3 linked regions of the Daphnia pulex genome follow. The protein of the gene in region 3 purifies or fractionates together with the protein of the main gene of each other region. This does not show direct contact. Links are inferred from orthologs where the notes say so. Each region holds a gene or a part of one and is shown on either strand. Other genes may lie near its edges.

Region 1 (4,350 bases), on a different chromosome or scaffold from region 3:
TCTCCTGCCGAAAAGTCGTCCAATGTCAAAAGTCGCCAGTTCAATGCGAACGTGCCGACAGGAGCCACTGGGCTGAGCGGTGGAAGCGCGGCCGGAATGCAAAGTCCTCTTCAGCAATTGGCCCTCCTGCAGCAAATGACCAACTCCAACAACAACCCCATGTCCATAGCCTCCGAACTGGAGGCACAGAAACAGGAAAACTTCCATTTGCAGAACCAAAAACAACAGCAGGGTCTATTAGCTTCGGTTCACATCAAGCAAGACCAGATTGCAACAGCACAGGCAGCCATAACAAGTATGTATGCGTGTGACACACAAATGACAGTCGAATTCCGTTCACGCCATTAAGAACCGTTTGATCAGTTGATTGACCTCTATCTTGTTTTTCCTTCATTCTTGCATTTATAGATCAGAGTAATATGGTGAACGGCCACCAACCTGGTGCTGTGATGCAAGCGGCGCTCAATCCACAGTTGCAGCAACTTCAACAGAACCTGGAAGCGCAAAAGCAGCAGCTCTTGGTCCAGCAGCAGGTACTCCAGCAGCAGGTGAAACCGGAAGCTCAGCAATTTAACAAACAACAAATCCTGATGGCCCAGCTTCTGAACGAGCCTCCGGCTAAGCGTCCTCAGCTTTGGGAACAAATCAAGCAGACGGTGACGAAACAGGAAGCTGCCATGATGGTCAATCCGTTGGCCCAGCAAGGACAGTTGGGCTTCTCTCAGATGAGCCTGGCGCAGCAGCCGAGCAGAAGCCAACAGGAATTGCAACGATACCAGACGTTGATTCAACTCTTGGGTTTGGCCAATCTGGCCTCTTCAAGCAACCCCAACCGCCAAGGATACTACACCGATCCCAATAGATCAATGGTCGCCGGTGGTCTACCTTATTCATCGTTCGGGAGCAATGCGGCAATGAGCGTTCAGGCCGTACAAATGATGCATCAGCAGCAAATGCTCTTGCTTCAACGACAGCAACAAATGATGATGCTTCGACAGCAAATGGCGATGATGAATCCGTTCATGTTCTAACATCGTCCTCCCTTTAATAACTTTATTCTTATATTTATGTTCCCACACTTTGCTCCCTAAATTAAAGCGTCCACTTAATTTTATTTGCATCTCTCTTTCCTGTTTCTCGTCGAGGAAGGAATAAAATAAATATACATTGTTTTACGTTAGTAAAATATTGAATGTTGTTACTGAATGTTGAATTTGATTAGATAATAATTTAATTTTTTAAATAATTTTAACGAAATTAGTAGATTCAGCATTCAGTACGCTGGTGCGCCGGTAGGCCTACGCTGTTTGTTGTCTCTCCGTACCGATAATCCCGCACTTTACGCGTTTCCAACCCTTCTCTGCACTTTACCACTTTATATTGTGATTTTCTTATTGGTGACTGCTGATCAAGTTTGTGTTATAGTTTTTTTCTTCTCTTTGAGTATATATATTACTTTCAGAGTTAGTCATTATGATTCTTCACGAGCAAATTCAAATGTTGTTTGATAACAAACTTTATACAAATATTGTTGCTCTGGTAACTATATAGTTTCTTGTGCTTTCCGTGAATGTTATCGATAGCTAAATGTCACCATTGTATTGCAATGCTATAAATATTAACAAATGTTTTAGTTATATCATTTATATTTTTGTTTGGGCAGTAGTATCTACTCCTACAACTCATATTATTCCATTTTGAATAAGTGCTACTGGTGACTTTTACCTTGAGTATGACAATAGGAATGAGTTCAGTGTAGATTTCATTCTATTACCATAGACTACGAAGTAGTGTAGTCTATGCTAATTACCAATCTAATGAATATCTGGAATTTTTCTACAGGCTCCAATGGTTCTTTCAGCTACTGATAACAATCCTGAGCTTTTACCTCCTGCAAGCATTGCCCAAACAATGGTGTACCTTGCAGATTCATTCCTTGAACAAAAGGAATATGGAAAAGCAGAAGTTTATTACAGAAAAGCCCTAGATCTGAGAAAAACCCTTTCTAAACAAAGGGGGATGGGAAATAGTGCTGCCAAAGAGCTTTCAGCTGAAACAGGTTTGATGTTCTGTTTTAAAGTATAAACAAGTTTTTCCTAAATAAGTTTGAAATAACAATTCTAGAGATTCGCTATCAAATGCACATATGCCACCTTGCTTTAAAACAGTCAGTGCAAGCACTTCTTGTCCTTCAAGGGATCCCAGCCAAACTACGATCAGTTAGGGTTAATATGGCTTTAGGCAAGTTGTATGTTATGAATGGGCTTGAACGCCCAGCCATTTCTGCTTTTAAAGAGGTTATTCGTGAATGTCCTTTGGCCCTAGAAGCTATATTGGCTTTGATTAAACTTGGAGTTAGTTATGTTGAACTTGTTCGTTTAATTTTTAATGGAAACCCATCAAATAACTTAGATTGGTGAGTAGGCTCATATGTATAAAATGTAAATCTTTGTTGAATAATGTTTATTTTCGTTTTTTTCCCTTAAATTCTGAAGGGTTGTTCAGTGGATCAAAGGACAGTGCCATCTTCATTCTTGTGAATATTTGAGTGCTTCTACCATTTTTTGCCATTTGCAAGATGCATCATTGCTCAAAGATGATGTAACAAATTTGGTATCACAAGGAACAACCCTTTTCTTGGCCGGGGATGGAGCGGGCGCCCTTCTACCGCTTCAACGAGTATGTTAAATGATTTGAGAAAAAAAATATCTGGTGCTCATCTCATATTTGCGTTTGTTCAGGCGCATTCCCTCGATCCTTTGTCGCTAAAAGGAATGGATATTTTAGCAGTCATTTTAGCGAATGAAAAGAAAAGTGTTGAACTTGAAGCACTAGCTCTCAAGCTAATCTCTGTTTCTGATTCTAGCTTCGAATCGTGGGTAAAATTATTTGTTTTTTATTTCTAATTACCCTTGTTCCTGTATTAATTTTAATTTATCAAATTAGGTGGCCATGGGATACCATTATCTTTTGTCACGCAAACTAACTCGCGCTCTGTACCTTGCGCATAAAGTAAGATAGCAATGCCGATGTGGTCTTATTACAAATAGTTTTAAAAACCGCGCAAACATATTTCTCATAGGCTTGCACATGTTGCATTCCAACCCCTGGGATAGAGCCCCTAATCCTTAAGGGTACGATTTTACAAGAGCTTAAAAAATGGCCTGAAGCTATCACACATTTTAGGTAAGTCCTGTGATGTTTAAAAAAAAATTATTGAAATATATTTTTTAATTATTGAGATATTTTTTAAATTTTAGTAATATTTAAAAAAAAATTATAGTAATATTAACAACAAGTTTAACATGATAATAGGGAAGGATTACAGACAGCTCCGCACCGATTCGAAATCTATCGTGGTATAGTTCACTGTTATCTAGCGCTTCAGCGAAGTCGAGAAGCCATGAATATAGCTGCTAGCTCTCTTCATCATATTGGTCATACACCTCGCACTTTCACGGTTAGCATTCTTTACAGTGTTTCGTGTTAATCATTCGTTTAAAGCAGATTTTTATCAAATGAGCCATTAATTAAATTGCTGACTGCTCTTTGCAGCTCTACGCATCCGTCCTGTTGAAGGATCCTGTTACAACCGCAAAGGGCAAGGTTTTCCTTGAAAGAGCTTTGAACATGGGTAAAATTAACATGAATAGTTTCCGGTGTAAAAAAAAAATTGTATAACGTTTTCCGTTGTAGATCCTCGATACACTCCAGCTGTATTCCTTTTAATCGACTCGTATGAGCAGGTGAGTAGCTGTACAATCCTACAGAACCACTCACTGAACTACCATTGACTACAATTATTTTCAGGCTGGCCAGAGATCAAAAGCCATTGAACTGCTTACTAAGCAAATAAATCAGCAACCTACAAACAGGTTACATCATATTTTGGGAGACCTATTCATAAAAAATGGAGATATGGATAAAGCATTGGAACAGTACAATTCTGCACTAATGTACGAGAATCTTTATCACTTGATTTTACTTTAACTTGCATATTCACATACTATGCATGTGTTTAATTTTTTTCTTTGTAATTTTAGGCTTGAACCGAATAACGTAAAAACCATTGAGGCCATCAATAGGCTTGAAAACGCATTGGTAGCTAAACTAGAAAATCATCTGGATTTGGAAGCTGATGATCTTCCTGATTCTGATGAAGAGGTAAATTCAATTTAAAGTGAAAAACAAAATATATGCATATGTTAAAAGCTATCGTTTTCAAGCCAACCATTGAAGAAGTCGACATCGATCCTATGGGTGGAATGTGGGCCGACATGAACTTGGATCAATTTCGGTAGTTTCATGATTTATTTGTACAATCACTCAAAAATACATTTTCTACAAAAA
Region 2 (3,580 bases), on a different chromosome or scaffold from region 3:
TTCTTTCTCCTGAAAACCAATGGCGGGGCCAGGAGCTTGGTCAGGAGCACCAATGGGGTCAGGATAACGAAGAAAGTAGAAACGATGCCCAGGACGAGAAAAACGACCACCTCGGCTGTGGATTTCTGCGACATGACGTCGAACCATTTTCGTTCCAAACTGATTCCTGTGCGGAGCAATTTCGACAAATATGTCGTTTGGTGTGTCATCTTCTTCACTTTCTCAGAGTCAGGAGTTGGCGAGCCGAATGTTCTCTTGACGCGAACTGCTGTTGAATTTTTCTGAAAAATGTTAAATGGGAAAGTCACAATTTGAGTGGAGGTTTTTGAACTTGGATCAATGACCTTCTACGAACCAAACAGCAATCGGCCGTTTCAAATGTTACCTCGATTAACTCGGTGTCGTCTTCGCAAACAGTCCATGTCACGAACAAAATTAAAATGATTAAAAGTCGCATAGTGGGAACGTAGAGACTGGTTCAAACTGTACACAACCGAAGGTGCAGGTCAAATGAGGTTGTGAGTGAGGTTGGTGTGGTCCTGCTAAAGGTGGTGCAAGGTCGTTACTCCCAAGATAATTGCACTCGCCAAATTACCTTCCGAGTGAGTAACCTGGGGTTAAGGGATTTATAATAGATTCAGGGAAACGAACCATTAAAGTGCGATTCCAAGAAAATCTTAAACGTTCACAGCAAATCAATAATTAAATGTAACCTGTGATAACTTACTAAAGGTAAAAATATGAGTTGAATGGGTTATCAGCAAATTTTTTTATATTTCCTTCGACCTCACACGACTGAAAAATCAGCATAAAATTAAGAGAAAGAAAAGGAAACTGAATCAACACTCTCCTCCCTTCCGCGAGTGTAAAAACTAGACATGGATAGATTTGCTCGTTAAATAACGCGCACTGCATAGAAGTGCGGGAACGAAACAATTCAAATGGTATGGGAGATGGAGAATTATGGAGTTTATCGCTGAGAAAGACTACGGATATTTTCAAACCGTTGCTAGATGTGAAGCAAGAAGAAACAGAGAAAAAGGCATTTATGTACAGTGACGCTCATAATCTCTTCAATGTTCTCTTTTTGTCCTTGGCCACTGGCTTTTTCTTATCCGCCAAAACTGTGCGATCAGTAGCAGCTTTTTTCGATGCTGTAGGGCCTTCCGTTGGGTTGTTGTCTTCATTCAAGTGGGCATCCGCGTTCGACTTCAATCAAGGAATGAAAATGAAATAAATACAGTAAGTTGGTAAATTTGGTTTTGTTTACCTGATTTTGACTAACTTTGGCATGAATTTCAGTCATCATTTTTGCTCTTTGAAAGTAATCTTCATAATGCTCTAATAAGAGCTTGCCAGCCTCTTCATTCAAAGCCGACTCTGCATTGGGGACAATTAGCAAACATTTGATAGTCTAAAAAAGAGATTTTAGGTTAGTTGTGAAATAGAATTGAACTCTTAAATAGTCGCACCAGAAATATATGTTTGATACCCAGATCAGGCTTCCAATCTTTCTTCAAGGTGTTGACACAAATTTCGCCTTGTTGCGAGACATTGGGATGAAATATTTTGGTTAAAAAGAAACCTTTCGGAGGACCAGAGGGGAAATCTTTTCCTAGCACTAATTTTACTCTAAAATGTCCACTAGCATATGGGGTACCAGCTGATTGTGGGGGAAATGATTTAAAATGATTTAATTTTAGGCTTTATTTTTAAATGAGAATTACTCTTACCAGGTCCATCAATAATGGCTTGAATATCAGATATGTCTTCTTCATTGAGAATAACTTTGATGCCTTCAGGTGGATCACTAATAAGCTGTTGAAGTTCCTTGCAAATTTGGCGACTAACTTGAGGTGCCAAGTTTTCAAACGAAACCTAGATTAAACGGTTCAAAATGGGCGCAACTTTAAAGTCTAAAATTGCAAGCTGTAACTCAATTTTCTAAAAACTTACTGAAGCCATGAGGGTTAAAAACAAAAGAGCAGAAAAGTGATATGTTCACGAAACAGAAAACGGAAGAGTAAATTTGAAAAGAATTTTGATACGACCGTTAGAACGGTTAGAATTTGGACAATATCAGGAAATTTTGGCCTCAGAGTTCAGAGACAACAAGAATACAAGATGCACACCGTTGCCGAAATGGGTACCAATTTAAAAAAAACGTATTCGAAAAATTTATTTATTTTTTTTATGATTTTAAAATAAAAACATTTTCTTTCGACATGAATTGGTTTTTATTCGTGAAAAATCTGCGTTGAATTTCAAGTAATTTGCAACTCGCGAGTTTCACATTCTATTTTCAAGGTCCTTGTCAACGTTGCGTGTGAGTCACGAACCTTTCTCACATGCCATAATATTTATTCTATTTTTTTATACGTGCCGTCTCGGGCTCTTGGTTTCTTAAAACTGTCTAATATAATAGGTTTCAAAATGCCTGATATCCTTCTTGTATCCGACCAGGTGACTATTTTCGTTTGTTTGCAGCACACTAAACCCATTGTTTATGTTTTTCTGCCCAATTTCAGGAAAAGAGGATAAAATCTCTAAAACGGCGTATTGAAACCTGGCGTGTTTTTCTCGTTGCCTTGTATTCTGTCCTCATATGGACTGAATCCTGGTACCCTGCACCTATTGTTGGAACCATTAGCACTGTATTTCTGTAGGTTCTATATTTTTAAAAATTTTTCCTGTGACATGATAAAGTTTCTGTTCGTTTATTAGGATGTACTGGTATTGGAATCCTCCAATCATCACCTCCGTATCTCTATTTTTTCTGATACTCAGTTTGATTGATTACAGTGTTCCTAGAATATGTAGCTGTATATCACAACCTCATCAATGGACAGCATTGAATGGTATACATTCTTCATCTCATTTTCTTACTTGATCAAAAGGTAACTTGATCATTTCTCCATAGAGAAAAAGTTTGAGATAATCTGTGAAACTCTGGTGAAAACTCAAGATAAAATTTACAACCAGATGACATATTTTATTGATCTCAAAAGGACAAATCCTAAAATGGTGATTTCTTTAATTGATACAGTGCATAGATTTTGATATTTTTAAATGTAACCTGTTGTTATGTTTTATCTTCCAGTATTTCTTGTCACTCTTTTCATTCTGCAGTCTTTCAGCTTGGATTGGTTATACAGTCAACAATTGGCTCATTTGTTTTATTCTTGGTATGTAATATTATTAATTAAAACTATTTAGTATTCTGAATTGTAATCAGCATTTTGATTGTTATAGTCACACTCATCTCATTGTATCCTGGCGTCAAACACAACGAAGTACTATCAAAATTTCTGTCGATATTCCTACACCGAGTCACCAATGGCATCCGATCGTATACAGAAAAGGATTCCGTTAAAAATAAGTAAATGGGAACTTGATGAGTCTCAAAGTCAGAGTTTGTGTCTCTACTATCTTAGGTTTTTAAATCACGATTGGGGCTTTTTTTTAATGGTATTTTGGCATACTAGTCTTTGATTTCTGTGCTTGAATGTTCAATCAAGATAATTCTCTTTGTTCGTTTTGTTTCCTAGTTTTCTTAAGTTCAAACTGGAGCAACGAACTT
Region 3 (4,341 bases):
AATGGCGACGTGGCATTTTAGCACTGGACTGTTTTTATTGATATCCAGTGCCTTCTTGAAGTAAAATTCTGCCATCGAATAGCGCTCTTGTTTGTAGTAAATTATTCCCATACCGTACCTTTTCACAAACAAAAAGTTAGAACAAATCAATTAATGCTGCTTTGTTAAAGAAGGTTTACCATCCGTTATAATGAATAGGATCAACTCTCACAGCATTTTTAAAGCAATCCATGGCTTTCTCCGTTTCTTCGAGGGCAAGATACTGATGACCCAAAAGAGTGTATGCATAAGCAAATTTAGGATCAACTTGGATTGCTCGTTGGAAAAACTTTAGAGCTTGTTCGCGATCTTTCTGCAAATCCAAGCAATTTCCGGCACAACACCAAGTCGCAGCTGACATTTTGTCTTGTTCCAGCATGTCTTGTGCTAATGCCGAGAGTGACACTTCTTGCTGCAGATGCCAGAGAGCAGTACTATAATACTCCATCAGATCAGTGCGATATGGCTCCATTTCACGCACTTCTTGAAACAACCTTAATAATTAAAAAATATCTGTCAATTTCCTGTCAAACTGTTACACAAGATAAAAGTAAAACTAACCTAGTAGCTTGCTTGTAGTCTGCCAGTTCAAAGTAAGCTTTAGCCATAAGAGAGAGGACCCAGCTTGATCTTTTGTGGCGTGCGGAGAGCCATTCTATTGTGTCAATCGCTTGACGAGACTCATATGAAGTCAGGTGTGAAAATGCTTTGCCTACAATCCGAAGAAGAGACATAAGTCCTTCAGCTGACTGCTTTTGCATTTGGACTGCCTCTTGAATCAAATTTGATGGTGGAGTCTGCACCGAAGTTAAATGAGTAGGTAGGGTAGCTTGTTTCTCATCCTCTCTATCCATTTTTCCTACTAGCTCTGGAAAATCGCTAATAGGTGCTAATCCGCTTTCCGGGGTATCACCTTTAGTAAGTTTGGATTTGCTACGCTTCAGTGGCAACTTGGGCACAACAAAACGAGAGCTACTTTTGTTATTCTCCTTAACGGAATTGTTCGAACTGTGATCAAAATAGAATACGTTAATTAATAATATACGAATTTATATATACACAAATGTTACTGAAACCTGTAAAGTCGTGTACTTCTCCTCACGTTAGCGGCTGGGGGTGAAGACAATGTCGGTGTAGCTGTATTTCCGGATTGGCAGAAAACTCCCATACGTGAAGGCGCGCTTGGAGCAGTGCTAGCTGCTTCACGACGACCACCCAACTAAAAACAGCATAAGCATTTGGAGAGATTATGAAACACTCTATATTATTTGTTTAAAAGGAAAAAAATCATACCCGTTTAGGCATTATCTTTGCTTCTTTTGTTTCAGAGACCGGTGGGGCTAGCGAGGGACACAAATAGACCATCGAACTTTGAGAAGCATCGCTTGCTGAAGACATATCCAAAGGTATGATGCCAAAACTAAATTACGTAAATTAAATAAAGTGTCATCAAGTGAATGGAAACTTAAATTATACTTGGGGGACATGGGAGACAGCGCTTGACCGGCTTTAAAGACTGATCGAAGCCGGAACGACCGTGCTCTGGAACGTGTTGGAGCCATGGTACTCGTCAACGGTATAGAGGGAATCATTTGATCATCTGGTGTCAAATTAGGTATATTGTGATGAATAAGAGGCACACATGGTAGGGGAGTGCTAGAAATATAGTAAAATACACAAGTTGTGTAAAGAAATGGTGATTAAATCTCAAAATAATTTGTGTTTTAAATAATATGCCATGTTTACCTTGTGTTTACTATAACATCAGCTGCAGGGACTTGAAGTATAGGAGTGGAGATTTGGTCAACAGACATTGGTTCATGAGGATGTACTTTAGTGGTTGCATCATGTGATTGATTGATCTGAGCAGTGATCAATGAAGCTATTGGGTTTGTTCCATGACAATGAGAGAAATTATCCAATCCCTCTAACTGAAAGACATCTTCTGCATCTGGTTTTTCACCAAGCCGACAAAGAAGCTCAAAAGCAGCCCACAGGAATGGATTAAGCTTAAGAGCTCTGTTGAGTACTTCTATAGCTTTGAACTTTCGTTCTGTCTGCATGTAAACTTGACCCAACAAAACTAGGGCAAAAGCAGCAGCATCTCCAAATTCAGTCACAACATCATCCAAAGATTTTTGTTTGAAAATATTTCCACCCATCAATGTTCCTTCTGCTTCAGCAAGCCTAAAAAAAAACACATTCTTTAGATTTTAATTATTTTCAATGAGAATAACCACATACTTATTCAGATCTAAACAACATTTGGCTAACAGATATTGACATTGTGGCGACTGAGTTCCTTTTGATTGCAGTAAACTTCTTGCTTGATTCGCTTTTCCTGACCGATAGTAGCAAGTGGCCAGAAGATACAAGCTTTCCTCATTATTAACTGAAAGAAACATAAGATTTATGGAAAAATAACCTTTACAAATTAAGTATACACATAATACTTTCATCCTGAAGTTTCTCAGCAAGAAAAGTAGCATTCCAATAGTTGTAGTGATTAAGACAATGCCAGATAGCCGCCTGCATTTTAGAAAAATTTAACCATTATTGAAAATGAACCAAAAACTGGCATACAAAGAAACCCCCTTCATTGTACACCCTAAATATATGCAATTTTTAGATCACTAAACATCATTGATTAACATGTTACTAACCTGGACAGGTTCTTGTACCAACATGTTGACTAGTAATGAGTTAACATATGAAATCTATGAAGATATACAATCAAGTTTGAATTCCCATGGACGGAAATCAATTTAAGTCAAAATAATTCCACCAAATTGCCGTCGGAGCTTACGTTTTAATGTAACACAAAGTTTTTTTTGCCCCTTCCTCTTTTTAACCAAACCGTTTCGAGTATCGCTGTATCGCCTTCACTAAGTATCGATCAATCTACGATATTCGATGAATTGATTCAAATCGTGATGCTTCAGTTTTGACATTTTTTGACATTTCAACGGTCAGTTTTATCAATCTTATTATTAAACCGCACTTGGACAATTTGCTTTCGAAATTGTCAACAAGTTATTTATTCAGGTAAATTTAAGTGTTGCAATGTATTAACTACTGTCATTTGGCCTAGATTGTTCGAAATAACGTGGTTGTAATTGTAATTATGGTACTGGAATAGGTAAATCAGACGTTTTTTTAATAACAATTAATAAAAAAGGCGCGTAATTCTAAAATATGAATTTTTAGTTAAGTGTTTTTTAGTTCTTCTAATAGTCCTTTTTTCAATTAATCTACTTCAAATAAACAAATATTTTTCAAATTTAATTCTTTTTAGTTGTAAACCTTTTGTTTAGCAATATTAAAGCTGTGTTCTTAATACAGGGCATAAGCATGATTGAAGCATCAGAAGACTCAAGTATTAGTGATCAAGCAGATCCTCAAGAACAACAAAAGATCACATCAGTTAGTGTTGAACACACAAATGAGCAATGTAACATGTCTGAAACCCACAATGCAACATTAGATCCTGAAATGGAAGGAGAGGTAATTAATTAATAATACTTTGTGCTATTAAAATTCCAATGAATAACAATTTTATGACAAAAATTACAGGATAACATGGATGGCAATGAAGATGAAGAACTGAATGAGAAAAAGTCCAAAACTGCTGGTGGATTTACTGGTAGAGGAGTCACATTGCAAATGTTACTTGAAGATAACATCCTTCAACCAAAAGAAGGTGCTATGTCACTAGAGTACATGGTAAACATTATACGATATTTCTTTTAGATTTCTTATCTTCCAAGTTTAAAACTTCTATTCCCTATGTGAATTTATTTAGGGACAAAAATTTAATGGGGACTTACTGGCAGATGGAAAAATTTTTTCTGCTGAAGTTCAAGAAGTCTTTAGTTCACCCTCGGCGTGGGCCTTGCGCTGCAAAAAAATTGTTAATCCCGAACAGAAATATGGTTGTGGTTGGTCATCAGTAAGCATAAAATATGTTTAAATTCTCGTTATCAAGTTCAGTAAATTTAGTTCAGATTTTTAAATGATGTAGGTACGATATTGTGGCAGGCCTTTGGATGTATATAAAAACCAATGGATGCGTAAACGACGTTTAGAACAGGTTAGCGACAACTCGACTCCTGATGATTGTAATTTGTCCACTAATGAGCCTGTACTGCTGGAACCTGAACCAGTAATTCAAATGAGTATGAAACAAACTGTCGGTGATCGACAAATTATAAAGCACGAAACGCTAGGAAACAGGACAAGTATCGAGTAAGTAGACAAAACAATTATTTTAAGTTTGGAGTTTGTTTCTAGTTTCTATTTCTT

What was found. The genes of interacting proteins can lie anywhere in the genome.
Region 1: the proteins of cell division cycle protein 27 homolog (region 3) and anaphase-promoting complex subunit 7-like purify together in Homo sapiens (affinity purification with western blotting; 23 studies listed by BioGRID and IntAct, with this or other methods). This does not show direct contact. The link is inferred for Daphnia pulex from reciprocal best matches to the Homo sapiens genes CDC27 and ANAPC7.
Region 2: the proteins of cell division cycle protein 27 homolog (region 3) and ubiquitin-conjugating enzyme E2 S-like purify together in Homo sapiens (affinity purification with western blotting; 4 studies listed by BioGRID, with this or other methods). This does not show direct contact. The link is inferred for Daphnia pulex from reciprocal best matches to the Homo sapiens genes CDC27 and UBE2S.

The regions. Positions count from the first base shown.
Region 1 is NC_060017.1:4,025,436-4,029,785, forward strand, and holds the start of anaphase-promoting complex subunit 7-like, read left to right. Parts: upstream 1-1,296; 5' UTR 1,297-1,473; coding exon 1,474-1,539; intron 1,540-1,842; coding exon 1,843-2,059; intron 2,060-2,124; coding exon 2,125-2,416; intron 2,417-2,495; coding exon 2,496-2,679; intron 2,680-2,741; coding exon 2,742-2,879; intron 2,880-2,946; coding exon 2,947-3,012; intron 3,013-3,082; coding exon 3,083-3,186; intron 3,187-3,315; coding exon 3,316-3,460; intron 3,461-3,555; coding exon 3,556-3,634; intron 3,635-3,696; coding exon 3,697-3,746; intron 3,747-3,810; coding exon 3,811-3,956; intron 3,957-4,043; coding exon 4,044-4,164; intron 4,165-4,226; coding exon 4,227-4,301; 3' UTR 4,302-4,350. Other genes in the region: myb-like protein K, read left to right, coding at 1-295, 409-1,031. UniProt on the Homo sapiens protein: Component of the anaphase promoting complex/cyclosome (APC/C), a cell cycle-regulated E3 ubiquitin ligase that controls progression through mitosis and the G1 phase of the cell cycle.
Region 2 is NC_060023.1:8,631,750-8,635,329, forward strand, and holds ubiquitin-conjugating enzyme E2 S-like, read right to left. Parts: upstream 2,128-3,580; 5' UTR 1,966-2,127; coding exon 1,957-1,965; intron 1,879-1,956; coding exon 1,734-1,878; intron 1,664-1,733; coding exon 1,473-1,663; intron 1,415-1,472; coding exon 1,271-1,414; intron 1,210-1,270; coding exon 1,063-1,209; 3' UTR 755-1,062; downstream 1-754. Other genes in the region: uncharacterized protein LOC124197881, read right to left, coding at 1-281, 386-457; ADP-ribosylation factor-like protein 6-interacting protein 1, read left to right, coding at 2,434-2,463, 2,529-2,662, 2,725-2,858, 2,921-3,024, 3,101-3,185, 3,253-3,383. UniProt on the Homo sapiens protein: Accepts ubiquitin from the E1 complex and catalyzes its covalent attachment to other proteins. Catalyzes 'Lys-11'-linked polyubiquitination.
Region 3 is NC_060018.1:4,689,318-4,693,658, forward strand, and holds the start of cell division cycle protein 27 homolog, read right to left. Parts: upstream 2,926-4,341; 5' UTR 2,727-2,925; coding exon 2,703-2,726; intron 2,569-2,702; coding exon 2,493-2,568; intron 2,432-2,492; coding exon 2,284-2,431; intron 2,227-2,283; coding exon 1,786-2,226; intron 1,696-1,785; coding exon 1,516-1,695; intron 1,460-1,515; coding exon 1,333-1,459; intron 1,259-1,332; coding exon 1,116-1,258; intron 1,048-1,115; coding exon 601-1,047; intron 534-600; coding exon 180-533; intron 119-179; coding exon 1-118. Other genes in the region: MPN domain-containing protein-like, read left to right, coding at 3,391-3,543, 3,613-3,762, 3,842-3,988, 4,061-4,284. UniProt on the Homo sapiens protein: Component of the anaphase promoting complex/cyclosome (APC/C), a cell cycle-regulated E3 ubiquitin ligase that controls progression through mitosis and the G1 phase of the cell cycle.